Linked DNA regions of Danio rerio. The protein of the gene in region 3 binds, or shares a complex with, the protein of the main gene of each other region. Links are inferred from orthologs where the notes say so. Each region holds a gene or a part of one and is shown on either strand. Other genes may lie near its edges. The genes, in order: dpf1, phf10 and smarca2.

Region 1 (10,196 bases), on a different chromosome or scaffold from region 3:
AGTGTCATCGAGTGTCAGAATGTTGTGGGACTGCTATACAGGAAATGCTATTTGGGATTATAGATAGCGAAATTTAGCAGTTTTTTTTGCGTTTATTTTAAAAAGCATGACGGTAAAACATGAACATGGTTATGAATATATTAAAACATGTGTTTGTTTATCGTAAATATTTGTAATAATGACAAAAAATACTAATTTATAAATCTCCTTACTTCCGGGTTCAGCAATACTGCTGTTGTGGCTGGTGAATTCTGAGAAATTTTCTTACCCCTTGGTTTCGAGTGTGGTAGTGAAAAATCTTTGTTCAAAGGGCTATTCACCCCTTCCCCTTAGCCCTACGCCTTTAAGCTAAAGAGAATTGGGACACCCCTACAACTTGATGTAAACACGCAAAAGGAAGGCTAGGGGTGAGGGGAATGGCTAAGATGTAGAATTGGAATTGGGCCTAAGTGCATCAACCGGGCAATTAAAGTGCACTTATTATTTTTAGAGTTTTCAGTGTGAATGCACTACTTACACTATTTTTACTACAAAATGGCATAGAATAGTGTATACATATGCAATTTGGGACTATGGTTTAATCGTAAATCCTATATGTGCCACCAGAGTTACTGTTATTTTGTTAATGTTTGTATGCAAAATTGAATGGGAAACTTCATCATCATCATCATCATCATCATCATTATTATTTTAATCTGCTTATCTGGGGCCTGGTCGCGGGGGCAGCAATCTTAGGAGAGAACTCCAGACTTCCCTCTCCCCAGTCACTTCCTCCAGCTCCTCCGGGGGGATCCCGAGGTGATCCCAGGCTAGTCGGTTTATACTTCTGCGTCAAGTGATCGGTGTGACCCACGGTGCATGCAACACGAGTAGCTGTGCATTATTCTTCTGCGCGCTGTTTCTTTTGCTCTGCAATAACACTTCCGAAACAATAGTTGGCAGTGAGGTGTTAATATTCCTCTGTGTCGAGTTTCTTCGCTGGTGTTCTGTTTTTTCTGAACACTTCCTGAATGTACAAGTGGCTTAAACTCGCTCATTTTGAGGCAGGGACCAGCGGACGTGCAACAACTTTAACCATGAGGTAAACACAAAATAAAACTTTCCATCTGGAGCTCCTTCATGGGACTCCACACTTGTAAACACTTGCTCCATCGGGCTCGCACGGCCCTCGTCCCTGCCCAGACTCGTCAACGCTACCAAGCGGACCAATCACAGAGCTTGTGCTATGTGTCATTACGACGTGTAGTTACATTTTTTGAGAGGTGCGTGTCAGCGATGCTGACGCCACGGCGTAGAGCTATGTGTCAACGCGTTGGCTGCGTCGTAGCATATGCATGTGCTTGACGCAGAAGTATAAATCAGCCTATGGTCCCTCCAGCATGTCCTGGGTCTTCCCCGAGGCCTCCTCCCGGTGGGACATGCCTGGAACTCCACCCTAGGTAGGCTTCCTGGAGGCATCTGAAACAGATGCCCGAACCACCTCAGCTGACTTCTCTCGATGTGGAGGAGCAGCGGCTTCTACTCAGAGCTCATCCCGGGTGACAGAGTTTCTCACCCTGTCTATAAGGGTGAGCCCTCCCACCCTGCGAAGGAAACTCATTTCAGCCCCTTGTATCCGAGACCTTGTCCTTTCGGCCATGACCCATGAGTCATGACCATAGGTGAAAGTAGGAACGTAGATTGACCGGTAAATTGAGAGCTTTGCTATTTGGCTAAGCTCTTTCTTTAAACTATTTCAGGTTTAGCAATTCTAGAAATAATAAATCCATAAGAAAAGATATATGACTGGTTTTAAAGAGCTAATTTAATTTAGGGTTTTATTCATTGAACAAAAAACATGTTTACAGCATTCAACATTTGAAGTATGCTTGCTTGATGCATGAGAACCGATAGGGTTCACTCTTGTGTGTCATGTGTCAGGTTAAAGTTGCAGTAAGAACCAACAGGATTTGATCTGAGCCTCAGTTCATATTTACCTTAATAATAATAATTATTAATTCTATACATTTATATAGTGGTTTTCTGGACGCTCAAAACACTTTACGCATTTTTTGAGGGGAATCTCCTCATTCACAACCAGTGTGCAGCATCCACATGAATGACGTGATGGCTGCCATATTGCGCCAGACTGCACACCACACACCAGCTGATTGGTGAAGGGCCAATTATGATATGTGGATGGTTAGGAGGCCATGATGGACAGAGGCCAGTGGGCAAATTTGGTCAGGACGCCGAGGTTAAACCCCTACTTTTTCAGAGTCAGGACCTCAGTTTAACGTCTCATTCGAAAGATGGCGCTCATTGAGCAGTATAGAGTCCCCATCAATATACTGGGGCATTAGAACCCACATAGACCGCAGGTTGAGCACCCCCTGCTGGCCTCACTAACACTACTTTCGGCAGCAACCTAGCTTTCCCATGTGGTCTTCCATCTAGGTACTCACCAGGCACAGCCCTGCTTAGCTTAAGTGGGCGACCATGTGAGAGTTACAGAGAGCAAGCTATGCAGTATACTAGCCATGAAACCATAACATAAAGCATTGCTATTCTGCATCATTTAGGGCAACCAGAGCTGAGAACACTTCCCTAAAGACATAATTGGAACAACATCTGTGCTTATATTAGTCTGGTTTTATTATTCCAGAGGTTTCCATAATCCTGGACCAGGCCGTATCCTGAGCAGACACTGTGGCGGTTAAAGAAATAACGATAAATCAAATTGAATATCACAATATTTAATCACAGAAATATTAAACATCGCAATATCAAAGTTTTTCAATATCATGCAGCCCTAATATGAATCACCAATGACCACATTTTAATCTAAAAAATTATTTTTAATATTCAACTAAAAAAAAACTAAAAGTCACCCACATCTTGTACAGATGAAGGTTAAAGCCAGGTGTACACAATGTGAATTTTGATGGTTGGAAGATCACGTCCATTTTCGTCTGCACTAGTTGTTTAGGATTGGTTTGGTGTGTCACAGACATCCATTAACCCCCACTTTTTGTAAGCTTCAAAATAAAAGCCACTATCCAACACCATTAAACAGCACGGAAGAGCCAGGATAAAATTTAAAATTACTCACTCTGTTTGTCTGACCGAGAAAAAAGTCATTTACACAGAGGATGGAGTAAATTATGGGGTAATTTTCATTTTTAGGTGACCCATTCCTTTCAGTAAAATAACAGTACATGTCCATTTTTGGTTGAAAGTAAGCCCTTGACTCTGATGATAACTGCCTAACAAGTGGACAACTGTGAGTGCACTCATAATGCGCGGCTGCAGAAGTGAAATAGCAGGGAGATGCGCAGCTGTTTAACTCCTGAGGCGACACAAGCAGCAGGATCACAGGTCCACTCCCAGGAGACGCGGCACTCCAAAGACTGACTCTTAATTGAAGTGCTAATTGGTTAACTGTCCGCCTCTGGGATAGATGTCATGTTGTGTGCTAAACAGCGAGGGTGGCGACACTACTGACAGCTCAATCTAAATGCACGCCGCTTCATTATGATCTATGAGCATCCGTGTGTCAAAGCGGTTATATAAACGTTACTTCCCGCAAACCCGGAGATGTTGAAGAAAGCATTCTCCGCAAAATCAATACAACCGACTTGTCAAACATACCGGCATATTCACACAACGATAACAAATGTATACTCGCAAAATATATATATACACACTTTGTGGTTAACAAGGAAGTCTGCCAGAGGAGGCGTGTCGGCCCTGCAGGCATTTGTGTTTCTGCCAAGAAGAGACACAAGTACTATAGAGAAATCAGAGAGGAAGACGAAGAGAATGAGGGAAGAGCTGAAGAGAGGAAGATGCCAGCAGACGGAAACTCTGAATGGTGGGAAAGAGGGTACTGAAAAAAGAAAACGACACACAGGGACAGTGTCTTCATGGAAGAGAGTGTGAAAGAAGTCTTTATCTAGTTGACTGTCGAGTGTTTGTTTCTGCAAAAAAAAGAGTCATCCTAGGAGGAATCTTTCTTACCTGGCATTCGCTCATGGGTTCCTCTTCCTTTGTTTCCACCTTTTTATCCAGCAGTTCACCGCTGAGGAGTGACTCCAGGACGGGACCATCAGGAACACCCCCTTCTTTCTTTAGCGCTGCTTCATAGTCTGGACACACAAGGCAAATAAATGTCATCTTATAACAACGCAAACCATTTAGTTTGGGCTGTCAGGATGAACTTGCATTTAAAGATTTGTGATGTTCTTCACTGTTGTAATGCTAGAAGACGTCATTATGCCAACATATCGATTACAAAGCCACATTATCAATAATTTGCGGTGCTCTTTGTAGATTACAGTGGCCAAATAACGGTTGTGTTTGTGTTTTTAAAATTGTCATTAGATCATCTGCAGAATTTTATGAGATTGCCGTCTTACATTATTTGAATAAATCTGGCCCTAATACAGCAAAAGGGTAACACAACCAACACTGAATATTCTGTCACCATTTACCAACCCTTCAGGTGACACAAACATGTTTGACTATCTTTCTTCTGTTGAAAACGAAAGAAGCTGTTCTGAAGAAAACTGGTAACCTCTAAAAATGAACTTGGATAGTATCTGTTAATCCTATAGTATGGATGTCAATGGTTACAGGTTTTCAGAAGGTTTTCAAGGTTTGGAAGCACTTGAGAGTGAGTGAATAGTGAGTATTATTTAATTATTTTCATTAGTAATACAGCAAGTATTATTACCAAAAAAGGTTTAAAAAATGTGAATACTTTAAACTTTCTTTTGATGAAAGAAAAATGTAACACAAAAATATTAAAAAGTACAATTGGTTACAACCAAGCATGGACAAAGTACACAAATCAAGAATCTGAGAAATATACAGATACCATAATAAAAAAGCACTCATTCACTGTAAAATCAAAGTGCAATTAATTCAATTAAATGAGTTTTAACTTTAACTCAAATATTAATGAAAGTTCTTTTTACTTAAAATAAATAAGTCACAGCAGGTTTCTTGTACCTAGCATGCTTTGTAATTACAAAAGCATACTTATGACAAATAAATGGCACAGGTTCACAAAAGAGATAAAAGCTATAGATAAAACTATCTTTTCTTATACTTTTGCTGTTGAAAACACTATTGGTTATAGTTTAGGGAAGGGTTGACGTCAGTGGTTCATTAGGTCAGTGGTCCCCAACCTTTTTATCACCAAAGACCGGTCAACGCTGGACAATTTTACCAGGGACCAAGGGGGCAGGGGGGAGTTTACATAGATTGCTAGGCGACCACCAACCATATTCTCAGAGGATGACAAGCTCACAAAACAATGTTTTAACTCTGATACAAGTTTTATTTATGGAGAAAATGAAAAAGCGCTACAGTGTTTGCGTGCTCTGTGTTTGTCTAAAATAATTAGTTTACCGAAATGTGTACATTCCATACAAAGTATGAAGCTGATTGGACTGTTCTTGTCACTTGACTCGTGGTGCGCTCGCAGCATTTTTTTAACTGGTTGCGTCTGGAAGGCGCGAGCACATCCCGCCGCTTGCAGGTGCAAGCCGCACATCTCCATTGAAAATAACCAACTTACGTGCAGAGAAGCCCCGATATGTGAACGGCCCCTAAAAGCCTGCCATCATTTTCATTCTCCAGCAGTTGATCTTGTTGCACAGACATGCTGGATTCACCTAAATTGTTGAAAAATGGGTTGCAGATCTATTCCATGGCAGTTCACTGGGCCTTTTCCTCTTATCAAAAAAGCTTTCCAAAGACGTCTGTTTCTTACTCATTTTGCTAGCTTGTGGTTTAAATTTGGGCACTCAAATGACCGGGATGTAAGCGAGAGATTACAGTCATGTTTCAAAATAAGAGTTTGTTTAAATAGTTAATTAATGAATGATTTTTTCTAATGCGCCCGGTACCAATTGGCCCGGTGGTTGGGGACCACTGCACTAGGTGACCTGTACTTCTCATGGACATGTAAAAAAACGTGTATCTGAAATGACCAACAAAATATACCCTAAGTAATTTGTTCACAAGATTAACAAAAATCTAGGCAGTGCCCTAAATTTGTCAACTGAAATGTACCCGAGAACTGTATTTTATATTTCACAAATATGTAAGCTAAGGTACATATTTCCAACTAGCCAGGGCTCTTAAAAACAAACTAATTAGCATTCTAGTATCTAGTTAGTGCTATGACAGCAAGAAGATGCATTAACATTACCTAATGTTATATTAGCATTGTGTTGCGATTGTAAATAAACAGACATTTTTACATTCAAGCATTTTACAAGCTAACAGTAGTACCCTAAATATGATTTTCATTTACGAAAATAAATCCTAATATTCAGCATTATTAGCTTACTTTCACACCACAACATAATTATGAAATGCAATGAAATAAGGTAAAGTTTCCCAAAATAGAAATACTTTGATAAAGTACAGAAGCAAACATGAAAATACATTGCTTACCACTGTTTTCAAGAAATGTTTTGGTCACACTTTACATTAAGGTTTCATTGGTTGAAGTTCATTCATTCATTTTCTTTTTGTCTTAATCCCTTTATTAATCCATGGTCGCCACAGCAGAATGAACCGCCAACTTATCCAGCACATGTTTTACGCAGTGGATGCCCTTCCAGCTGCAACCCATCTCTGGGAAACATCCATGCACACTCATCCACATTCATACACTACGGACAATTTAGCCTACCCAATTCACCTGTACCGCATGTCTCTGGACTGTGGGGGAAACCGGAGCATCCGGAAGAAACCCACGCAAACGCGGGTAGAACAGAAACGCCAACTGACCCAGCCGGGGCTCAAACCAGCGACCTTCTTGCTGTGAGGCGACAGCACTACCTACTGTGCCACTGCATCGCCATTAGTTGAAGCTGTTTAATGAATTTACCAACTTGAACTAATAATGATGAAAAATGCATTATACATCATTTATTAACTAGAAGAGTAAAGTTCAGACACTCGTAACTTTATGGTGGCTTGAGAAAGCCTAGTCTGAAAGTTTGAAGTAGTTTTAAAGTTTAAATACCTAAAGTAGTTTTTAAGAAACAGTTGGCATAGATAGATAAGTACATATATGTTAGCATGTTTCTAGTATGGATTGGCATGTTTCTTGCTAGGCGGTTGCTAGAGTGTTTTGTATGGTCGCTAAAGTGTTGCTATGTGGTTGCAAGGTGTTGCTAGGCAGTTGCTAGGATTTTCTGAGTGGTTGCTAGGGTGTCCTGAGTGGTTGCTAGGCAGTTGCTAAGGAGTTGCTAGGGTGTTCTGAGTGGTGGCAAAGGCTTTGCTAGGCGGTTGCTAGGATACTCCAGGTCATTGCTAAGGTGTTGCTAGGTGGTTGTTAGGGTGTTCTAAGTGGTTGCTAAGGTGTTGATATGTAGTTGCTAAGGTGCTCTGAGTGATTGCTATGCAGTTTCTAAGTCATTGCTAGGGTGTTCTGATTAATTGCTAGGCGGTTGCTAAGATGTTCTGAGTGGTTGCTAGGCAGTTGCTAAGGTGTTGCTAGGAAGTTGCTAGGGTGTTCTGAGTGGCTGCTAGGCAGTTGCTAACATAAATTAGCATGATTCTAATTTGAATTAGCATAGTTCTAGCATGGATTAGTATATTGCTATTATGAATTTGTATGTCTTTAGTATGTTCAATGTAAAGTCAATGGCAATTTTTTTACAATGTAAGTCTATGGAACAGTTGCTAGGGTACTGTAAGTGGTTGCTAGGGTGTGGCTACTAAGTTAAAATATATCATTGATTGGCAGATTAGTAGTCTGAGTTAAATGAGCCCAAACTTAATTCTGTATGACAGTCTGGAGCAGAGTTATGAGGTCACATAGTTTGGTCTAATGTTAAGTCAATGGGACTTTTCCGAAACTTCCGGGTCATTTTTTCTGACAAGTTGGAAAAGATATAGCAACCCGAGTCAGAGCAGTTTGGAGGTTTGCAGTTAGTTTGGTCTTTGTAACTTGAATGGTTTAGGAGGAGATGCATATAGAAACTAGTCTCAGAAAAAGATGGAAAGAGAATAATAAGTTTATGTAGTATAACAGTGTGTTGCCTTTTGTTATCGTTCAACACAGAATAATGAATTATTAAAATATCTTTAGGCTTGTTAACATTAGTTAATGCACTGTGAGCTAACTAACAATGTAGGACTTTATTTTCATTAACTGTTAACAAAGATTCATTTCTTACTGCATTTCTGTAACCGTTTTAATTTTTATACATTTTTTATTAGGATGATATGTGGAAAAATACGATTGTCATACTTACAAAAACATCAAACATTTAGTTTAATTTTACCGATTTTAAACTCGATGGGTCCAAGACGTGGATCCTCTAAGATGTTCAACCGTCTCTTCTTCCTCCAGCACCGTGCAGGATAGGTATAGAGCTGCCCTGGAGCCACACCTGGGTCAAACAGATGCAGAGTGGCCACATAAACACCCAAAACCCAAAACTTATGTTAAAGTCACCTGTGTAGTAGGATACACACAGACACACACCTGGCCCACGGTGAGTCTTCTCCATCCATATGTAGCAGTTACTCTGTGCTACACCTGTCTGGGAGTCGAGGAAGGGCAGGCGCATGGAGCGTTCGGCACAAAGTCGAGCATTATAACTGCGGCAGTGCTCAATCGCCTCACGATAAAACTCCTCACCAAGGCTGGAAACATTTCAAAAACAATCTAAGTTTAATACAGGTTATTTTTTTTCCTCTCATGTACGAGATTGTGGCCTGTTTCATTTTATTTTCTCTAAACAATGAAATAATGACTATGAAAATCAGTTAGCCACGACTAAAGATGCAAACTAACAAGTCATTCAGTATACCAATAGTTTATTTACCAAAAATCTTGTCACAAAATGAAACATTTCACGACATATTAAAGGCTCTAATTAAACAAAGTTCACCCAAACATGTAAATTTACTTACCCTCAAGTGGTTCCAAACCTTTGTGAGAGTCTTTATTGTTTTAAACACTGGTGAAGATATTTTGAAAAATGTTTGAAACCATTAACCAACAACCATTGACTTCTATAGTTGGAAAAACAAATACTATGGAAGTCAATGGTTACAGGTTTCCAGCTTTCTTCAAAATATCTTCTTTTATGCTGAACAGAAAAAAATATATAAACTCTTTAAGATTTGAAGCAATAATGGGGTAAATAATGGAGTAAATGATGACCAAATTCTCAATTTTGGGTGAACTAACCCTTTAAGCATGACAAAAATACCAAAATACTAATTCACTGCCATTTCAAATCCTTGTACTTTCTCAAATTCTTCAAACCAGTAGGTTTCACCTATGTGTCAAGAATGAGGCTTTAAAAAATTTAAAGCAGATATGACAGATTTGAATAACTTTGAATGACATCTCACCATGGATTTTTAATTAGGTTTAGTTCAGGACTCTAGGCTGTCCTTTCATTTTGTCAGTATTTTTAAAAAGCCATTTGAACTGGAAGTTGCTAAGACTTTGATTACTTATATTAACAAAGATTAATTTATTACTTAAATTCTTTGTCTTTTTTATACATTTGTTTTATGACGATGAGGTTTTAAATAATTTAAAGCAGATATGACAGATTTAAATAGCTTTAAATGACCTTAACATCCTATTAAGGACTTTCAATCAAGTGTAAATCAGGACTCTAGGCTGTCCTTTCATATTGTCAATATTTTTATTTAAAACCTATGTGAACTGGAAGTTGCTGACACTTTTATTACCAATGTTAACAAAGATTCATTTATTACGGCATTACTGTAACCTTTTCTTTTTTATACATTTGTTTTATTAGGATGTTACATGAGAAAATATGATCGTCATTCCCACAAAAATAACAATGAGGTTTTAAATAATTTAAAGCAAAAATGACAGATTTGAATTGCTTTGAATGACTTCAGGGGCAGCATGGTGGTGCAGTGGGTAGCACAATCGCCTTAATAGCTTGAAAATCCATGTGAACTGGAAGTTGTTGAGACTTTTATTACCAATGTTAATAAAGATTTATTTACCCCTGTATTACTGTTCATGTACTTTCAACTAAAACGGAATATTGAGTAGGGGGTGGGGCTTTCAGTGCATCATTCCCTCATAGCAAATTAACAGTAAGAGGGGCGTGGTTAAGAATATTGTGGCTGAAGCTGTCAAACTGACTTCATCAGAGAAAGACCATCACTCCAAACAAAGAAGCAAAAGGAAG
Region 2 (10,034 bases), on a different chromosome or scaffold from region 3:
TTATGTGAATGTCATGTTTGTCATAAATTAGCACAGTATATATAAAAGCTTTAATTTATTAAATCCATGGTAGGTACAGCTTCTGTTGATCCTCTCTTTATACGGTATGTTTTTGGCTTATTCCCATCTGTCGAGTTTTGTTAAAAGTATTTCTAGTTAGACAACATTAAATGTTCTTGTTTGTGCTGTGATTTTTATTTTTTTTTCCATGTAATACTCTTAGTTTAGCCTATACTTTCCTACTGTGACAAACCAAAGGCGTTTGTCCTTCTGTTAGCATAAGTGTGAGCTTCACTAACATCTAAATGTGTCTTTAACCTGTAGCCTTTTTCCTCCTTCAAATGTTGTCACTGCTCTTTTTGATTTGATTATTATTACTTTTTCCCCAATGGTAGGTCTTTTGACATGTCCATATTTAGAGTAACCTTTTGAATAAAGAGGTTTTAAAGAAATGACACTGTAGAGAGATTTCTTAATGACTGTGAGCATTGAATGAAAGTGTCACGTCTGCTGTATACGCTTTGGTTGACTTTTGAGTGTATGGTCCATTTTATACACTTACGTTACTTTGCAATTGGCTTTCTCTACTTCTTGGTTGTTTCTTGGTATTTACTCTTACTAATTTAGCAAATATGTATGGAATGGATTGCTTTTCATACAAAGCATGGGAATTTTAAATAGGGCTGGCCGATTTAATCGAGACGATTTTTTTATGCACATTTTGTCAGTAAAGCCGGTTCTAGTAAAAACGCGTTTAGATCAGGGGGGCCCAAACTTTTTCTTTTGAAGGGCAAAAATAAAAACAAACTTAAGGGCTGTGGGCTGGAGGTTAATATTGCAAAATGTATTAAAGCTGATTTATAATTCGGCCTGCCTTGCGCATAGCTGTGCATAAATACTTCTTTGCGTTGTTTCTGTTGCTCTGCAGTAACACCTCCGAAACGCTAGCAGGCAGTAGGTTTTTATGTTCCTCTGTGTTGAGTTTCTTCGCTGGTGTTTTTGTTTTCTTTCTGAATGCTACTTTAATGTACAAGTAGCTCAAACTAACTCATTTTGAGGCGGGAATCAGCAGACGTGCAGCAACTTTAATCATAAGGTAAACACAAAACAACAATTTCCATCCGGAGCGCCTTCATGGAACTCCACACTTGTAAACAATCGCTCCATCAGGCTCGCGCGGCTCTCACCTCCACCCACACTCGTCAGCACTACCAAGCCGAACAATCCCAGAGCTTGCGTTATGCATCATTGCGATGTGTAGTTTCATTTTTTCAGCGTCGACGCCGGCCACACAGAAGTATAAATCAGCCTTAAACCGAAAAGAAAATAAATGAATGTATGAATGTGGTGTGCAAATAAATTTTTTGGGGGGTAATAATTTTTTTGCCAAAGCTACATTTTTGTCGACTTCGGTGTCATGTCCTACAGAAGCAGATTTTCATTTAATAATAATAATAATATTAATAAATTATATATTTATATATATATTTATCTTAGTGACTAAACTTTAAGCAGTGACCTATTGTATATTTCATATATTTTCTGTATACTTAATGTAAAATGCAGATTATTATTATTATTTTTTGTCTTTCTTGTTTGTGTATTATTATATATGCGTTAAGTCTTTTTAATTGAAATTTGGGCAATTTCTATTGTTTTTAGCCTAATTTGCTCTGGTAAGTTCTGCTGACGAGCTGTAATTGTAAAAATGTTATTGGTTGAAGCATATCACATGGTGTGTATGTCCTTGGTTGCCTTGGCGTTTATAGCATTACTCTGCCCTTGCAGCCTAAGGTCATTCCCAATGCTATATGTGGCATATGTCAGAAGGGTAAGGAGGCCAACAAGCGAGGCAAACCAGAGGCTCTCATCCACTGCTCCCAGTGCCAAAACAGCGGTAAGTCAAAAGCAGCTCTTTCTGAAGCAGTCCTTGCTTTTCAGTTTAAATGGCACCTTCTGAAACAAGTAGTATAAAACACAAAAAACGAAATCGAAAATCATTTTAGTTTTAAAATACATGTTTTAATTCAAAACTCTAGGTTCTAGTTATTAGTAATTTGTATCTGCTATTATAAGTAGGACATAAAGTTGCGGTAACACTTTATAATAAGGTTCTGTTAATTAGTTTGACACAACCGTCCTGGATGTACTTTATCCTGCTTATTACACAAATACTTGACACGAAAACATAAATATTAGACACAAAACATCTGAGCCGTAATAGTTTATTCAATCTTTAATTAAATGCAAAGCAGACCGAAACAAAAACGGCTGATGGAGTATACACTAACCTGTGAGTAATTCAGACACAATATTGTGACAAACTGTCAACAATGCAAAGTTTGACCGAAACAAAACTAGCTGCATAAAGCATAGACTTACCTATGTATTATTAACGGTTAAAAGCCGAGGCATGATAGACAAGCAGATACATATGAACGTAGGTATAATTATTTGGATGTGACAGCCTGATCTCTGGCGTTTTGTCAGTTTAGTGAATTTGTACGAATTCAGTCTTCTGAAATTGTAAAATTTTTAAAAAGGAGGTGTGGCAACCTACTGCGCCCCTAAACCCAATCGTCACTCGTAAATTGATGAGCAAATTGTATGAATAAGATGGTACAAATTCATACGAATTGGCCACTAAATCAAAAAGTTACGAATTGCCGTGAGAACGTGTTGCATGTGAACGTATTCGCTGACCCTGAAGGTGATTCAAAATTTTCTGCGTTAAGCCATTGTTAACTAAGAATAACATACTGAATATTGTCACTGGCCAATCAGAATTGAGTATTCAAGACAGCTGTGTAATGAGTAAGGGATAAAGTACATCCAAGCGCAAAATGAAGGCCCGACAGGCTAATCAGCTGCCTGACGTTAAACGGAGCACTGTTGTATAAGACTGAAGGGCTTTAATCTGCGAAAATCATGCAACAGGATATAGTTTATCCCATTTATTTCATGGCGACATTTCACAATATGTACAAATTGGACAGAACTGTTTTGAAACATGAGTTGAATAATTCTTTAAATAAAAGCAAAGCTGACAGAAACGAAAACGGCTGAATGGAGCATACACTAACCTACGTATTATCTTGTCGCAAAATGGCGCCAGAGACAGACAAGCATATAAATATGGAGGTAAACGCATTCACTGACAGTCAAGATGATTTGAAGTACCTAGATGAGCCTGTGTTATTAGTTTAAGTGGTTGTTATCTGGGAATAGCATGCCTTGGGATGCAGCGACTGACTAATCAGAATTGAGTATTCCAAACTGCCGTGTAATAATGATCTACTAACATGAACAGTTTATTACAGTGGTAATTAATCTTTGTATTTTAAATTTTGGGTTTTAATAATGCATCAGTGAATGTTGAACTGTGATTAATAAATGCCATGCAAGTATTCTGCGTTCATGTTCGTAAATACGTTTAACGTTAACAAATAGAACCTTACTATGAAGTGTGATATTTTTTGTGTATGCTTTTTGAGTGTTTTAATCCGTTTTATACACTTGTGTTTCTGACTTAAACGGAATATTGAGTAGGGTGCGGGGCTTTCTTTTTGCGCATCATTCCCTCATAGAAAACTAATGGTGAGAGGGGCGTGGTTAAGAATACTGTGGCCGAACCATCAAACTGACATCATCAAACACAGTTCAAACACAAGCAAGTGCTCAGATGATTACCAATAAACTTTTTTCAATGGATTACCTTGCGTACGTTAATTGTTTATTTAAAAATAAAAATGTGCGTTAGCAAATTGTTTACATTTTGATTTACCTTTTGATTTCGAATATGTTTTAGATTTTTGAATACATTTTGATTTTACACGCATTTTAATATATACAGCACTCTGTTTTTAAAGCCTTTTCATCATCCTGTTGATAAAAAAAAAAAGTTCTCGTGTATCATTTCTTAAGTTTCTGCTTGCTGGAAAAGATACGTTTTTGTGTGAATGGCTAATGATGATGATGATGATGATGATGATGGTGATGGTGATGGTGATGGTGATGGTTATGATGGCCTTGTTTGTGCTCAGGTCACCCGTCCTGCTTGGACATGAGTGTGGATCTGGTGGCCAAGATCAAGATGTACCCGTGGCAGTGTATGGAGTGTAAGACGTGCACCGTGTGTCAGCAGCCCCATCATGAGGAGGAGATGATGTTCTGTGATAAGTGTGATCGAGGCTTTCACACTTTCTGTGTGGGCATGGACTCCATTCCTATGGGTGAGTCTCTACTTAAGATCTTCCTCTCAGATTTAGGAACACATAAATAAAAATACATTAAAGCTAGAATAAAAGCAGTTATTATTTTTTTTAAAAACCATTCGAAAAACCTAGAGTTGTCTAGAACAAACCATCATTATACAATTATTTGCCTAGTTAACCTAGTTATGTCACTAGTTACCTTTAAGGGCTCTATTTTGACGGTTCATGCGCAGAGCGCAAAACGCAGGGCGCAAACGCTTTCAGGGCGTGTCAGAATGCATTTTTGCTAATTTAAGGACGGGAAAATCCACTTTGCGCCATGGTGCATGGTCTAAAAGGGTTGAGCTTATTTTCTTAATGAGTTATAGGTGTGTTTTGAGAATAAACCAATTAGAGCCTCATCTCACATTACCTTAAAGAGCCAGCTGCGTCGCGCCATAAGCGCATTTTGACGTAAAGTAAGTTCACTTTCTCTTTTGCTCTCGTGGATAGGGAAACCTTTACGCACAGACATTAATTAGCCTATAAATTATTAATTTCGTTTGTTAAGCGCAAAGATTTGTTTCAAAACTATTTCTAAATTCAGTTTTAATTTCCAGCAAACGAATAAATGAACAACAATAACAAAGTGTGCTCAAAAACCTGAGTTATTTCCAAATACACCTGCTGTGCCCCATATGGTCTAAAATTTGACAGGTGGACAAATCTAAGCTTGTTTTTAATAAAACAAATATAAATATGGATATAATAAATAATACTGCTAATAATAATAACATTATACAAAAGAAAATTGAATGAACTGAAAAAGCCTCCCGAGATGAAGAAAGTATGAAGGCAGTGGTTTTTAAATTCATGTAGGCTAGAAATTAATATGTTTTGTAATATTTTAATCATTGATATTTATATCCTGTATATATCCTTAAGATATTATATATTTTTCATATGTAAAGATATTTGCGTATTGCTCTGCATCTTGTGTGTAGTGTGTAAGCCAGGCGCACTTTGCGCCAGACAATAGACCGACTTTGTTCTGGTCTTAAGATCAGACTATTTACAGTTTCTCAAAATAGCAACGCGCCAAAACACGCCTGCTTTTTTAGACCAGAATGCCTATGGGTGCACATTTGAGCGCAAATGCATTTGCTATTTAAACGGTGTGGCGCAACACCTCAAAATGACCCTTGCGCTGAGCTAAAAGTAGCAAAAGAGTATTGCGCCGCACCTTGCGCCACATTGCGCCGCGTGTATGATAGGGCCCTACATGTCACTTTAAGCTGAAAACTAGTATCTTGAAAAAATCTAGTAAAATAATGTGCTGTCCGTTAGAAATGTGTTGGAAAAAAATCTTCTTACTGTTAAACAGAAATTGGGAAAAATATTCAGGAGGACTAATGATTCTGACGTCAACTGTGTGTATAGTGTTTACATTTTTACACAAATTGACATTATTAAAACTTAATTAAAATGTTAAAATAGGATTTTTGTCTGCGTTTAGGATTTATAATTCTTTAAATATGAAATCACTTGTATAAATGATGATGCAGATGTTAAGGTTAGTAACATATAATAATAATTATAATAATAATAATTATTATGGGGGGGGAGGGGTCTCTCCTTACCACCACCAGTGTGCAGCATCCGCTTTAGTGGTTTAACGTCTCATCCGAAAGACATCGCTCAGTGACAGTATTCACCTTATTCTTCGCCAACAAGCGGGCGCAGCCATTTGAATCTTTTTGGCTCGAGACTTCCGGTCTCATTCACTTCCATTCATTTTTAGACATTAAAAACTGCTCGTTTTGATGTTTGATGTTGCAAACTGATATTTTCTTATTATATTATTCTACTTGGTCTGTATAGTCATGCAAACATTTGTTTTTAGAGCAAGTAGTTTGACCGTTTTCTGACGTTTATTATTCCTAAACGTCATTTCTCCCATAGGCGACTGAATCGGAAGTTCTAAAACAATCCTGAAAACAGGCGCACTTCCGCATTTTAGAATAAGGTCAATAGAGTTTTTCTTTCACTATACTGAGGCATTAAAAGTCACACAGACCGCAGGTTGAGCGCGCCCTGTTGTCATCACAAACATCACTTCTAACAGCAACCTAGTATTTCTTATGTGGTCTCCCATTCAGGTACTGACCAGGCTCAGCCCTGCTTAGCTTCAGTAAGAACCGGTCTTGCGCTCATATGGCTGTGTACTGAGATTGTAGCTTTATGAGACCAAAAACATAATATAATATAATATTTTTTTATTTTTAATCAGCTTAAACTTGTGGAGAACTTTTAACAAAAGAAACATCCTCATGCTTTCCTACGAAATCTTTTGTTGAACATAGAAGTGTGATGGAACTATTATTGTTTTATTTCATATAATATATTTCTGTTTGCATTTTTATTTTGTACAGGTTGCTGGGTCTGCGATTTATGCAGCAAAGACATTTCAACACCTCAGAAGAAAGGACAAACAAAAACACCAAAAAAGGCCAAATAACTTGCAAAAAATGGACCCAATTTTAGACCATGCTTTTGATTTATTCATATTTTTCTATTATTTGAATAAGTCTGTATGTGTTTTGTATGTCGCATTAATCTGTTATTTTGTAGCTGATTTTTTACACGCCTGTTTCTCTGTTGATTATGCTTTTTTATTGATTTGTTAAATAAATTTGAAACCTTTTTTTGTCAAGCATTGCTTACTTCCGTCTTTACTAGTTCTCTTGACGTTGTGATAGTGATATTTATCAACATTTCAAAAGAAAAGCTTTTTTTTATTAGCTTTTTTTGTACTAATTTATTTATGTAATGATCATACTTCAGTAAACGGGTAGTAATGGATATTTTTCTGATCTAAAAATTTTTTTATGATCTAAAAACTGTTGGGATACGAACATTTAGATGCTATGAAGGAATGAATGAATGAATACCCGGGCAGATATTCTTGACTCTTACTGGCTGTAGGCATCTTCCTCGAGTCCCATTATTAGTGTTTATTTTTAGCTTTAAGTTCAGCTTCTAGACTAAAGCAGAACAGCACCTTGTAAATTATTTTATTTATTTATTTACTTTCTATAATTATTTTTAGAGGTTTTTCACCTTTAATTAGAAAGGACCGTGGAGGTTACAGACAGGAAAGTATTGGGAGCAGAGAAAAGGGAAGGGTCGGCAAAGGACCTCGAGCCGGATATCGAACTCGGGTCGCTGTGAGCACCACGGTGCTATACAGTGCTCAGCATTTTTAAGTACATCCCTCACAAATCTCTCTTTTATATTCATATTTTTAATAGGAAGCTATACAATTTTATATTTGTGCATATACATTAGATTAGTCAGTACTGAAGCTAAATCTGGAGCTAATCTAACAAAATAACTTACGATAACGGTCCAAAAACTAGTACACACAAATTTATGTAATAGAAAAATATTGAATACAAATTTTAAAAAGAGGAAAAATCAAGAGAAGCGATAAAATTAAAAAAAATGGTTGAAATTTTGTAGATTGTAATTTTTTTACTTGAATTTAATTGTTATCTTTCAATTTCTAAATATGTTTGGTGACTAAAATATTATTTTAATAAATATATCTGTTTAATAAATCTGTTTTGTTTAAATGCACTAAAATACATTGCCAACATTCACTGAGAAATTAATAAAAATGTTTGTTTTCAAAACTGTTCTGAGCACTGTATGTCAGCGCACCTAACCACTAGGCCAGGGGTGGCCAACCCTGTTCCTGGAGAGCCACCTTCCTACAGATTTCAGATGCGACCCATATCAAACACACCTGAACCAATTAATTAGGATCTGAACACCACGTAATAATTATAGGCAGGTGTGTTTGATATGGGTAGCAACTGAAATCTGCAGGAAGGTGGCTCTCCAGGAACATGGTTGGCCACCCCTACAGTAGGCTATTGGCGCCAACAGATTACTTTAATAGTTTATTGCATATAAGTGGTTCAAAACCACTGTTTATAAGTTTGGCACTTGAGCAAACATGCCAAAAACGACAAGGTTCAGTTCTTTTCAAGTCTAACTCCATAATTTAAAACAGAAGAACGAAACTCAAGTATCAAAATGATGACAGGATTGTCAGTCTTGTGTGAACTATCCCTTTAAGGGCTGCAGTATAAGGTATGATTTAGGGTTATTTAAATATTAAATAATTATTACAAAGTGTTTTCAGTCTCGGTTTTCTTACCAAGTGCATCCGGAGATTTCGTCTCAGTCCAGAACTTTCATTTAAGTGCATCCCTAAGATAGAAAAAACCATATAAACAGTAATAAGAATATTGCATAGACACTCACATGCACTCAAAAAAATTACGTTTGCTGTTTGTACAAACTACTTATTTAAAATGAGCTGATACAACACAATAGGGTATATGCAAAAGCATGCAGAAGGACTTTTAATTTGTCAGTAACCCGAGTCAAACACATCCGGGGAACTGTATGCACTTACAAAATCGGCCCTTGTAATGTCTGTTTTTAAAAATCAATAAACTTCACTGCCTAAATGATTTATGATATAAAGTGGGTTTCAGATTGTACAAGAATCAATGCATTAAATTACATTTTCCTGTACCATGTTTTTAAAATATTTACATTTATTTTACTTCAGTATTTACAATGGCGTTTCTGCCCTAGCCTGCTGATCCTGACGGCCCAAAGCGATCTCACGGCAATTCGTAACTTTTCGCTTAAGTGGCTAATTCATATGAATTTGTGCGATCCGATTCCTACAATTTAGTACGATTCGCTTAACACCCAATGACGTTTGGGGTTAGGGGTGGGGTTACTTGCAACGCCTCCTTTTTAAAATCGTACATTTTCATACAACTGAACTACGTTTGAATTTGTACGAATTAGCCACTAAAATGACAAAACGTAAAATGCTTACATTTCCTCGTGAGATCAGGCTGGACGGCCGAGTGAGTAAACGGCTTTTCATCTCATTTTACACTTCAGCAACTTATTGAACGATGAAGTCTATTTAACGGATTATATTTGAATAACAATACAACATCAATGCTGTAAAAGGAACCGTATAAAATTGAAAGTCACATTAACCGTTCACCGGAAGTTTATCAGTATTGGAAGAAACACTAGCTCTGCATTTACCCAATTCTCAACTTTTTTTAAGGCACAACTTAATTGTTTTATGTTCTACCCCCTTAAATTTGTAGAAACTAATAAGCTAACTCAATTTCTTCATGTTGTTTCAGCACAAATCGAGTGTGTGGAACCCACCATTTGTTTCACAGTGAACAATTATCGCGCTAACGATTATTTTCCGACATTTTGTGCAACTCTAATTCAGACCTGACATCATGAATTTTAAAGTGAGCAGTAGGAGGAGGAGTCGGACACACACACGGGTTGTTTTAACTACACCACAACACAAGTCAGTCAGTCGTCTCTACTTTCACTGCCTAGTAAATGGGAACAGTGTTTTTGCATTGTGTTTTGTTGTGCAGCAGATGCCACGTGGAGGTCAGTCGCGAACGACAGGTAACAGGTGTGTGAATGTGTGTTTGACGGCTGCTCTGATACCTAATATAGGCGTGTGTGTGTATGTGTGATACAATGGACACGCAAACCTGCTCCTCGGGAAAAGGCCTCGTAACAAAGACTTCTGCTTTCCATTGAGCGTCCGCCGCTGTTTTGACCGAGCCACAGCTGATGTCTGGCTCTTCACAGCTTGTGTTGTGTAATTGGATCTCGTCAGCGTCGGGTAACTTTTTAAAAGCTCCCTTTGGACAGAAGATAATATGCCAGCCTAAAAGAAAAGCAGCAGTCTGCACAATATAGCTCATA
Region 3 (10,196 bases):
TTACAAAGTTAAAATGCAAAGAAATAAACATTAAATAATTTAATGCCCTGCTACATATATGACAGTTTATCCATAGTTGTGTTTACATACAGTTGAAGTCAGAATTATTAACCCCCCTGTTTATTTTTTTTCCCCAATTTCTGTATAACGGAGAGATTTTTTCAACATTTCTAAACATAATAGTTTTACCAACTCATCTCTAATAACTGATGTATTTTATTTTTGCCATGATGACAGTAAATAATATTCTACTAGATATTTTTCAAGACACTTCTAACTAGGCAGGTTAGGGTAATTAGGCAAGTTATTGTATAATGATGGTTTGTTCTGTAGACTTGTGAAAAAATATATAGCTTAAAGTGGCTAATAATTTTGACCTAAAAATGGCTTTAAAAAAAATAAAAACAATATACAACAAAAGAATTTATTCTAGCTGAAATCAAACAAATAAGACTTTCTTCAAAAAAAAAAAACAACAAAAAAAAAAACTAACAAACATACTGTGGAAATGTCCTTGCTCTGTTAAACATCATTTTTGGAAATATTTAAAAAAGAAAAAAAATTCAAAGGGGGGCAAATAATTCTGACTTCAACTGTATTATAAAATATATAGGTTACACTTAAAGTCAAAGGCTACACATATATAGAGTTCTATCCTCCTGAATTCCCGCGTCTGAATACAGACACAATGGATAGCAGGTCTCTTGCCCTATCTATTCACACCATTATCCCTGCCGGTAATATGGAAGATTTTAAATATAGGCGAACACAGCAGCATGCATATAGGCGATGTGTCTGAATAGTAACGAATGCAACTGATAAAAGACAAAGTCCACCATTCTCCAATTCTCACAATGCTCTCCTCACAAAAATGCTTGCAGCACAACAACAGCTTGGATGTGTCAGAAGCCCGGACAGCATTGTGGGGAAAGCCATGCAACAAACTCCATGGTTTATGATAACAAACACATATGACCCTACACGTATGGCTAAATACTGCATGCCATGCGGGGTCACGGTCTCACTTGGCAGGTCTGTCATCGGAAATCACATGCTCGGATAAATAACTAAGAAGCAGGGTCTTCTCAAAGGATAAGGAAACTCAGCTATGAATAATAATGAGAAACCGACACGTGGACAGGCAGACAAATGCTACATCTCTGATTCTGATGCCGCCAAAAATGATTTTAAACCCGTAAGATGGAATTAGCTGACAAAAGCTCAAAATTATCCAGATTTATCCAAAATTAAAAAGCTAAAAGGTGCTAACGTCGTCTTAACTGATGCTCAAAACACACAAATCTGTCATTTTTTTAAAAGTAGTTAAGGGTTTCTTGAACCTTTAATAAATAACATGCTTTTATGTAAAAAAAAAAAAAAAGTTCAACCAAAATGTTTTATTTTTACATTATTACCTCACTTTCTACTTCTTCAAAACCTATTTGAGTTTCTTTTGTTATACTCAAAATAATATATTTCATGGTATTTTTTCTACTATGGAAGCCAGCAACCAGCAATCTTCAAGATATTTCATTTTATATTCCACAAAAGAAATGAAGAAAATGAAGAAATGAAGAAACTCATAAAGCTTTAAAACCACATAAAGGAGACTAAACAATGATTCTTTTTTATTTCTTTTTTGATAAAACTGTCCCTTTAAAGCTGTCCATACTCTGTTCTGGAGGACCAATGTCCTGCATATTTTAGCTCCAACCGAGTTTGGACACCCCTTCTTTAAGGTGTTAAAAAAAATTATGATAATAAATATGATAAAAAAGGCATTTCTCAATTTATCCAGAATCATGCAGCCATCAAACAGTTTTACAAATGGAGCAACCTTGTTATTTACTTTTTTTGAAGTAATTTTTTACTTTGGTGCATCATTAGATGTAATTAGTAAGTCTAACAATAACTCAGAGCGGATCTTGTTACAGTGACTCACCATATTCTGTTCCTCATGCTCCAGAATAGCCTGTAGGAAAGCTCTGCGCTCATGGCTGGAGGATTTCTGATCAAACATTCCTGCCTGAATGACCTTCTGATCAACGTTCAGTTTGTACTTGGCAGCCGCAAGAATTTTCTCCTCCACACTGTTGACGGTACACAGGCGCAGCACACGTACTTCGTTCTGCTGGCCAATGCGATGAGCTCGGTCCTGGGCCTGTAAGTCCTGGTGGTGGAAATCACAGCAGCGTGTTATTATTAGATCAATAATAATCAGAGTGGGGGATTTTAATTAAAAAGAGGCATAGTGCATTCTTTGATTTGTTTTCTAAAGGAAGAACAAATGGATGCAAATCACTGTGACTTTCTGTGCACTGTTTGTGGAGGAGGATGGATGGGTTAACATTAGCATCTTCTGCTGAAAATGTGTGGGGCAAAGGCACATAACACAACAAACAACAATAAAAAAAACAATTAATATATACATACATTACAAACGCCAACAACAAATTTACTTTTGTCTGCAGGCGTAAACAAAATGTTTTAGATGATATACTTTAAGCTAAAGGTCTGCATTCCTGCATAGCAAGAAATCTGGGGCCTGGGGCCATGTATCAATGCTGCGTATGCACAAAAACTTTGCGTACGCCAGGTTTCACGCTCAGAATCGCTCACGTTTGGATTTACTAACGATGAAATGAACGTGGGAATGTTGGCGTACGCACATTTTTTTTTGCGTGTCTGTTTTATTTCCATTGGCGACTCCTAGAGGCAGTTGTGTTAAATTGCACTTTACAAAGAGTCTTTGAGCCGTGCAATGGCAGCTGTATGAGACAGGTTCATCTAGCAGGTATATAAGGTTTCCATACCATACAGTTGACCAGCCAAACATTAAAGCGCTATTTGCAGCGGTTGCCGGTTTTCCCAATGTAATCGGAGCTATCTACTGCACGCACATTGCTATAAAGGCGCCATCTGAAGATGAATTTGCATGCGTGAATCAGAAACATTTCCATTCAATAAATGTGCAAATAAAATATGATGCATGAATGAATGAGTTCATCTGACGCTGGATTCGAACAGAGTTCATGCTCGAACGTGTCAAAACATGTTAACATGCGTTTTACGAGCTGCGCCACTGAGACTATTGAGTGTACTACAACATCTACAACTATAAATAACACTATTTCTTTTTTTAATCCACAGTGCGATGTTCAGACTTAACTGTGTTAACCGCATCAGCTAAACTCTCCCCACTCTATTTTTCTTCTTTTGTTGTTAATTCCGGAGGACAAACTTGCAAATAACACCGTTTTTCTCTGGTCTACCTCCTAAAGGAGCACCCTCAATTCACATTCTGTTCAAAGTTTCTCTTTTTGCTTGCTTTTGCCATTGCTTTTTCGTTGGGTTTTGCCAAAGTAGAGTCATTAGCATATTCATACGGGGGAGGAGGCAGGGAGGGGTTTTGCGCTCCTGCATGTTGCACCTTTGTGCGTACGCAATGTTTAGGAGGATTTCCACGCAAGTCTTTGTACATGACTTCACGGTCATGTACAAAGACTTGCTGGACTTTTGGTCAGGTCCCAAAGTCCAGCAGTGGGACCCAAGCAGATTTCTTGCGATGCAAATAAATTTCTGAATAAAATGCGGTAATTGAGAAAACCATCAGTAATTTAAATTGAAGCGGTCGCTCTAACAATAGTGCTCCAGTGTCCCAATATAATTTTGGAATAGCATATCTTATTGAGCACCGGTACAGCCAGTGCTCTTGACTGTTACACATGCTGAAAGCATGGACCAGTGCTTTCTGCATGTGCATTTTATTGGCACAGTCTGTGCACGCATCATCTGCATAACGGTCATCAAAGCTGTCTTTACCAACATGGGAGAGCAAAGTGTAGATTGGCTGTCCTTCAACTTGCATTAAAAATGGTCAGTTTACTGTTAGGAAACCCATATCAGGCAAGTCTGATGTATAGGATTCTTTTACATGTGTCATATACACAAATGGAAAAAAATGACCCTATGGACAATGTGATAACACCTCAAAGTTTTACCCAATAGCAGTCGCAAGCAAAATAAATTATAGCCACGCACAGACCTCTACTTCAAGCAAACAATTTTATTGGACTTACATATACTTATTACATATACAGTACCATCATTTTTTTATGAAAAATTATAATTAATACAAGTGTTTATTATCTTATGTGATGTCAACTACCTATACAGGCATGTTTCCACTTGGGACTGAAAATAAAATAAAATAAAATAATAAAATAAAATTCAGGCACTTTAGATCAGTCAATATGCAAAATGTGCTTTGTGACAAGTGGCAGAATATTAAATTTGAGGTCTCATCTCATTGTCATAGAGCCAAGTCGCCCTCACAAGTGTCAAGTTGCAGAGAGACCTCAAAAAGTACTGAAGCCTTTACGAAATCTGTCAAATATAGCCTTAAAAGTAACATGCACATTATACAGTACTCTTCAGCTGCTGTTACTCAGGCTGTCTAGTTAAGGAGAACTGGCAAAAGTACAATCAGTGTCTATGTAGGTAAAAGTAATTAAAATTTTAATTATATGGAAATGACCAGAAAACTAAATTAAAGCTATTATTCATTCATTCATTTTCTTTTCAGCTTAGTCTCTTTATTAATCTGATGTTTCCACAGTGGAATGAACCACCAACTTATCCAGCATATGTTTTATGCAGCGGATGCCCTTCCATCTGCAACCCATCTCTGGAAAACATCCATACACTATGGACAATTCAGCCTACCTAATTGGCCCTTCGCTAAGCCACACCCAAAAAACGCCACCCACCAATCGTGGCTTAGCAACCGTAGCTATGCGCAGGAGCTCTGTCAAGCTTTCGAGCGAGGGAAACAGGCCAAAGCGCTGTGCATATTGATTGTGCAAATCTGATACCCGGTATCCTTAAAGTTTGGACTGGGTGGTGGAATTTTTTCCCTTTTCAAAACCTAAAACCCAAGGGGAGAAATGCCAGCATGGATCAATCTCTGTGAGGGGTGCTAAAGGAGCGGTGTTAAGTCAGTTTTGTTTTCGATATTTCTGACACATTCAGTCATAGACGGCAATAACTCACACACCTCTTACCCTAAACAGATCTAAAGTGTGTTTATTACAAAAATACAAAACAGGTCATGTTTCCCAGCTGTCTTTTTCTTTTTTCGCTCGATATTATGAGCACTGCTCCATTTAAGCCTTTGGAGTCACACAAATAGCAATCATATTTCCATCTGTTTCAAGCTTCGAATATTTGAAATTACATATCAACAGAACAAAACCGAGATGTGATCACAATCTGAGCACTTGCGATCAGTATACTTTACAAGCAGCTGTTTTTCAGTCATTTATAAGCCTCGATGTCCATGTCAGAGCTACAATTCACTGATGTTTTCGTCTGTCTTTTGGAGATTTATTCATCTGTGACGATGCTATAGAGGGTTAGTGTCTGCTTTTATATTTGGCATCGGATTAATATTTGCTGGTAGGGAAAATCTATTCGTTCACTTCTGCTATTTATACTTTGATTTGCATTTCAATGTATTTATCTCTTTCACTTAACTGTAAATTAGAATAGAAACGCTATAAAGAGCACACAAACATACGTACAGACGGTGATAGGTGTTCACTGTTATGGGTAAATGATGCTAATATCTGGTACAAATCCATCTATTTCCCCTTCTTGGCTGTTCTTTCTATAAATTAATGATGTAGAAGCACTGTCCATGCGTTTTTCCTAGTTGGTAAGTAACGCTATACTTCATTGCACAACAATTAATCTATCAGGCTTTTTGGCTAAAAAAGAGAAATCAGGGTTTATTTAGTTTTACTGAATTATTTTTAAATGTCACCTTTCCTGCTGTGCATGAACTGAGCTGTTGAATGGTCAGCGTATGAGGCGGCTAGGCTAAGCTAGCTTCAATTTTGATCCGGTTATTTTCTAATCAGTTGCCTATTATGTCGTGAATCTACCCCTGTAATGCATACTGCTGTCCTTTTTTGTCTGGCTTTCTCGGATATCTTATCTGTTGGAAAAAAATGACTAATTTTATCCCTGGCAATGTCTGAAACTGGCGCATACACATTGTAATAGACGTTGCAGGCAATAAAGCTTGACAGGCATAGCAACAGTAACTAAGGAGGGCGGGGCTTAGCGAAGGGTCCATTCACCTGTGCCCCATGTCTTTGGACTGTGGAGCACCGGAGGAAACCCACGCAAACGCAGGGAGAACATGCAAACTCCGGAGCACCCGGAGGAAACCCACGCAAACGCAGGGAGAACATGCAATCTCCACACAGAAACGCCAACTGACCCAGCCAAGGCTCGAACCAGCGACCTTCTTGCTGTGAGGTGACAGCACTACTTACTGCGCCACTGCATTGCCTAAAGATATTTTAATGTATTAAAAATAAAAAGAAAATGTATATACAGGATAATTTCAGATAATATAATAAAAGAATAAAACAAAATTAAATAAAGAACCTAAGATTTAAGACCATAATTACAGATAAAAAATTTTTTTATAAAGGTTTGATGTAATCAAAATCAAATAACAGTTCAAAAAAATCAAAAGAAAAAGCTACCTTTTTTCTGCTAGGGTAGAAAAACAGACCTCCACGATTACTTCAAACAAACATGCACTTTGAAATGTATTTCAAGTCAGATCTAGAGATGACAGATGACTGCTGAGCTGAAAACTTGCTATGCGACTGTCTAGTTCCTCTCTAATCACAGCAGTGAATCACACAAACCTGGTGGGGGTTCCAGTCGCTGTCAAAGATCACAACAGTGTCTGCAGCTTGCAAGTTCAGCCCCAAACCTCCCGCCCTGGTGCTCAGCAGGAAGATAAAATACTGGGAGCCTTCCTCATTGAATTTCTTCAAAAGCATCGCACGATCCTCTGACTTTGTAGTTCCTGGAGGACAAAACCAGCAGCAAAGGAGTGTTAATGAAAGAGAAAGGGCAGCATGTTTGTGTGATCACACTTATTAAAATTTCCAATTGGAAACCCCCAAGAAATAAGGCCCTAAAGGACAGGAAAACATTAAAGAAGGACTGCGCTGATTACTGACCGTCCAGACGCAGATAAAGGAAGTTACGGTAGCCAAAGTAATCCTCCAGGATGGTCATGAGGGAGGTCATCTGGCAGAACAAAAGCACTCTGTGATTGGTGGCCTTCAGTTTGGGCAGGATGCGGTCCAGTAACTCAAACTTGCCAGAGGCTCGGTACAGGTCAGGGCTAGGTGGACAAGAAAAAAAAAAGCACAACGCTAATGTCAAATCTATGATGGTGTACCTCCACTGTCCAGAGCCCGCGGTCAGTTTAGTGATCCATAATTGACATGAATGAACACTTCATGGTAACTCTTAAGGTTATGTAACGCTCGATTTGATGTATACTCACCCGCTGATAATGCCATTTGGAAATCCCAAATGTTCAGCAAAGGATTCCTGAATAGATACAAAAAAGATGCTTTTAGTGTAGCTCATGCTATACAAGTAGGAAAAAAATACTGACTGTTTATTACAGTGGCACTGCTCGTTGAACAACTAACAAGGCTTACATACAGTTTATGGCTGTGGCGATAACTGCAATTTTTTTGTCTGCAGAGGAATGACAGTAACCACAGAAACCACAGTGTTCACCGCAGCGTCTATGATACTTTGCCTTCTGGTAACTTGTGGTCTGTGTGAGTCCTAATGCCCCAGAAAAAGTTAAGGGGACACAACACTGTCCTGACTCTTTGTGGTCATTAAAAATCCCATGGCACTTCTCGTGAAAGAGCAGGGGTGTAACCCCGGTGTCCTGGCCAAAGTCCCCCTATCCGCCCTTACGATCATGGCCTCCTAATCATCCCCTTCCACAGAATTGCCTCTATCACTGTCTCTTCACTTCACCAATAGCTAGTGTGTGGTGAGCGCACTGGCGCCGTTGTCCTGTGGCTGCCGTCGCATCATCCAAGTGGATGCTGCACACTGGTGGTGGTGTGAAGAGACCCCCTCATGATTGTGAAGTGCTTTGGGTGTTTGGCCATACATAATAAATGAGCTATATAAATACACATTACATTACATTACATTACATTTTAAGATTGTAAGGCTAACTGGCATGAAATGTCATCAGTCGACAGATATTTCCCAGTATTTCTTTATTGCAATTAGAGATCACATAAATAACCCCGAAAAAGCTAAAGCAGTGCAAACAATACGATATTACTGTTGTGTTTGCGATAAGGAAAAACGCTAAACACATGCGGGTTTTTCTTACAGCAAGAAGACTCAATAGAAACAAACAGATGGCCAATCAAAAAGTAACCTTAGGTTATACAAAAGCCCAATCCCAATTAGATTTTTAACCCCTACTCCTTCCCCTTGGCCCATAAAACAAAGTGTAAAAGAGAAGGACTTCGAAATTTATCCCTAAAAAATGGGACACCACTACAAGACCTGCACACGTCAATATATGTCATTGCGTTCTCATCCTTCATATGAGATCAGTGCTGTAGTTATTCCAGTTGCTTTATTTTTTTGGTATTTTTCTTGAGGAAATCACTTAAGGTATGTATTATGTTATCATAACAATCTAATGTGACAATAAGATCGTAACTGGACTGTGCATTTACAAAGTGGCCTTATTCATCAATGTAAACACACCAAAAACAAAACTAACATTATAGCACACACTGTTTAAAGCTCTTTCCCAGTCACTAGACTTTTTCTGACAGGGTATTCGAGTGTCATCGAGTGTCAGAATGTTGTGGAACTACTATACATAAGTTATAGTTTTTGATTATACATTGCGAAATTTAGCAGTTTTTATTTTAGCGTTTTTTTAAAAGCATGACGGTAAAACACAAATGCGGCTATGAATATATTACAACATGTGCTTGTTTGTTGTAAAAATTCACAATAATATAAAACAATACTAATTTGTGCATCTTCTGACCTCCAGGTGCAGTGACCCTGCCGTGGTGGATGGTGCATTCTGGGAAATTTTATTACTCCTTGGTTTCGAGTGTGGTCCTGAAAAATCTAAATTTGAAGGGCTATTCGCCCCTTCCTCTTAGCCCTATGCCTTCAAGCTAAAGAGAATTAGGACACCCCCAACCGCTCGTTTTGCACTTTCCCGTGAAGGGGTAGGGGTGTCCCAATTCTCTTTAGCTTGAAGGCGTAGGGCTAAGAGGAAGGGAGAAGAGCTAAGGGGTAGAATTTGGATTGGGCCAAAGAGTGGCCAACACAAAATGCATACATTCCTGATATGCGAGTCCTTTCTTACACTTAATACACAACAACTACTACGGCATAAATGCAGCTCTACAACATACAAAAGAGGGACATCAACTTAAAATGTTACTCACCAAAATAATAATGATTTGATCAGCTGTAGTTAGAAATTAGAGTTTTTCTCTTTTAAGGGCTTATTATGTGGTCTCTGTCGCCATCTTGTACATGGACGTCAACCGTCTTTGCTCTGCTCAGTGACAGGCTGATTTTGTATTATTATTTAAAACAGGCTCTATCCTTATACAGTAAATAAAGGCATAGTTGCAATCTAAACAACTACAATCTCGACTAAAAAAGCCTCAAAAGTACATTATGTTGTCTAACAGCTACAACATTTGTCAAACTATAATGAGTTTATTGATCTGTTGTCACTCTATATGGGCGGAGTAATACTGAAGGCTGAGGAGGCTGTACGAGTTCTGATATTGCAGAATATCGCACGGCTGAGAAAGCCCTAATTACATGTATATACCATATGGTTAGGATTAGAATGCAAGTTAGGTTCAGGGTTAGTTGCATGTAAAGCGTTAGCTTTTTTGATTGTTGATAGATATTTAAAGTGTCCCTGTTGTAGTTTTTTCAGATTTTAACATTCAGGTAGCATGTAATATAGCTGTTTGTGAAAGTACTTTAATGTAATTTTTGTACACCCAAAATGATTCCAAATTGCTTAAAAATAAGTCATCGGTAACTCTTTTCTAACATCCAGCACAAAACTGCAAAGGTTTGTAACATAACTGCATAATGCCTACCTATGCAAACAACACCCGTTTCAATCAAACATTTAGTTGAAGCTGAGGCATGAAGCAGTTTGGTTTGTGATGTTGATGTTAAGATGGTACCCCTTTTTCCACTGTCTCCAATTTGCATTCACTTTCAAAGCATGCGAATTTGGGCTTGAATTAGCTAGTGACATTGTTACTGTTCAGATATGTTAA

The links.
Region 1: smarca2 (region 3) and dpf1 share a complex: the UniProt entries of both Homo sapiens proteins name them as parts of the neuron-specific chromatin remodeling complex. The link is inferred for Danio rerio from reciprocal best matches to the Homo sapiens genes SMARCA2 and DPF1.
Region 2: smarca2 (region 3) and phf10 share a complex: the UniProt entries of both Homo sapiens proteins name them as parts of the neural progenitors-specific chromatin remodeling complex. The link is inferred for Danio rerio from reciprocal best matches to the Homo sapiens genes SMARCA2 and PHF10.

The regions. Positions count from the first base shown.
Region 1 is NC_133190.1:16,343,221-16,353,416, forward strand, and holds part of dpf1 (zinc finger protein neuro-d4), read right to left. Parts: intron 8,656-10,196; coding exon 8,495-8,655; intron 8,400-8,494; coding exon 8,292-8,399; intron 4,128-8,291; coding exon 4,000-4,127; intron 1-3,999. UniProt on the Homo sapiens protein: May have an important role in developing neurons by participating in regulation of cell survival, possibly as a neurospecific transcription factor. Belongs to the neuron-specific chromatin remodeling complex (nBAF complex).
Region 2 is NC_133188.1:6,026,004-6,036,037, forward strand, and holds the end of phf10 (PHD finger protein 10), read left to right. Parts: intron 1-1,788; coding exon 1,789-1,897; intron 1,898-4,043; coding exon 4,044-4,232; intron 4,233-6,625; coding exon 6,626-6,711; 3' UTR 6,712-6,902; downstream 6,903-10,034. UniProt on the Homo sapiens protein: Involved in transcription activity regulation by chromatin remodeling. Belongs to the neural progenitors-specific chromatin remodeling complex (npBAF complex) and is required for the proliferation of neural progenitors.
Region 3 is NC_133180.1:46,074,705-46,084,900, reverse strand, and holds part of smarca2 (probable global transcription activator SNF2L2), read right to left. Parts: intron 7,426-10,196; coding exon 7,379-7,425; intron 7,214-7,378; coding exon 7,047-7,213; intron 6,890-7,046; coding exon 6,726-6,889; intron 2,171-6,725; coding exon 1,943-2,170; intron 1-1,942. UniProt on the Homo sapiens protein: ATPase involved in transcriptional activation and repression of select genes by chromatin remodeling (alteration of DNA-nucleosome topology).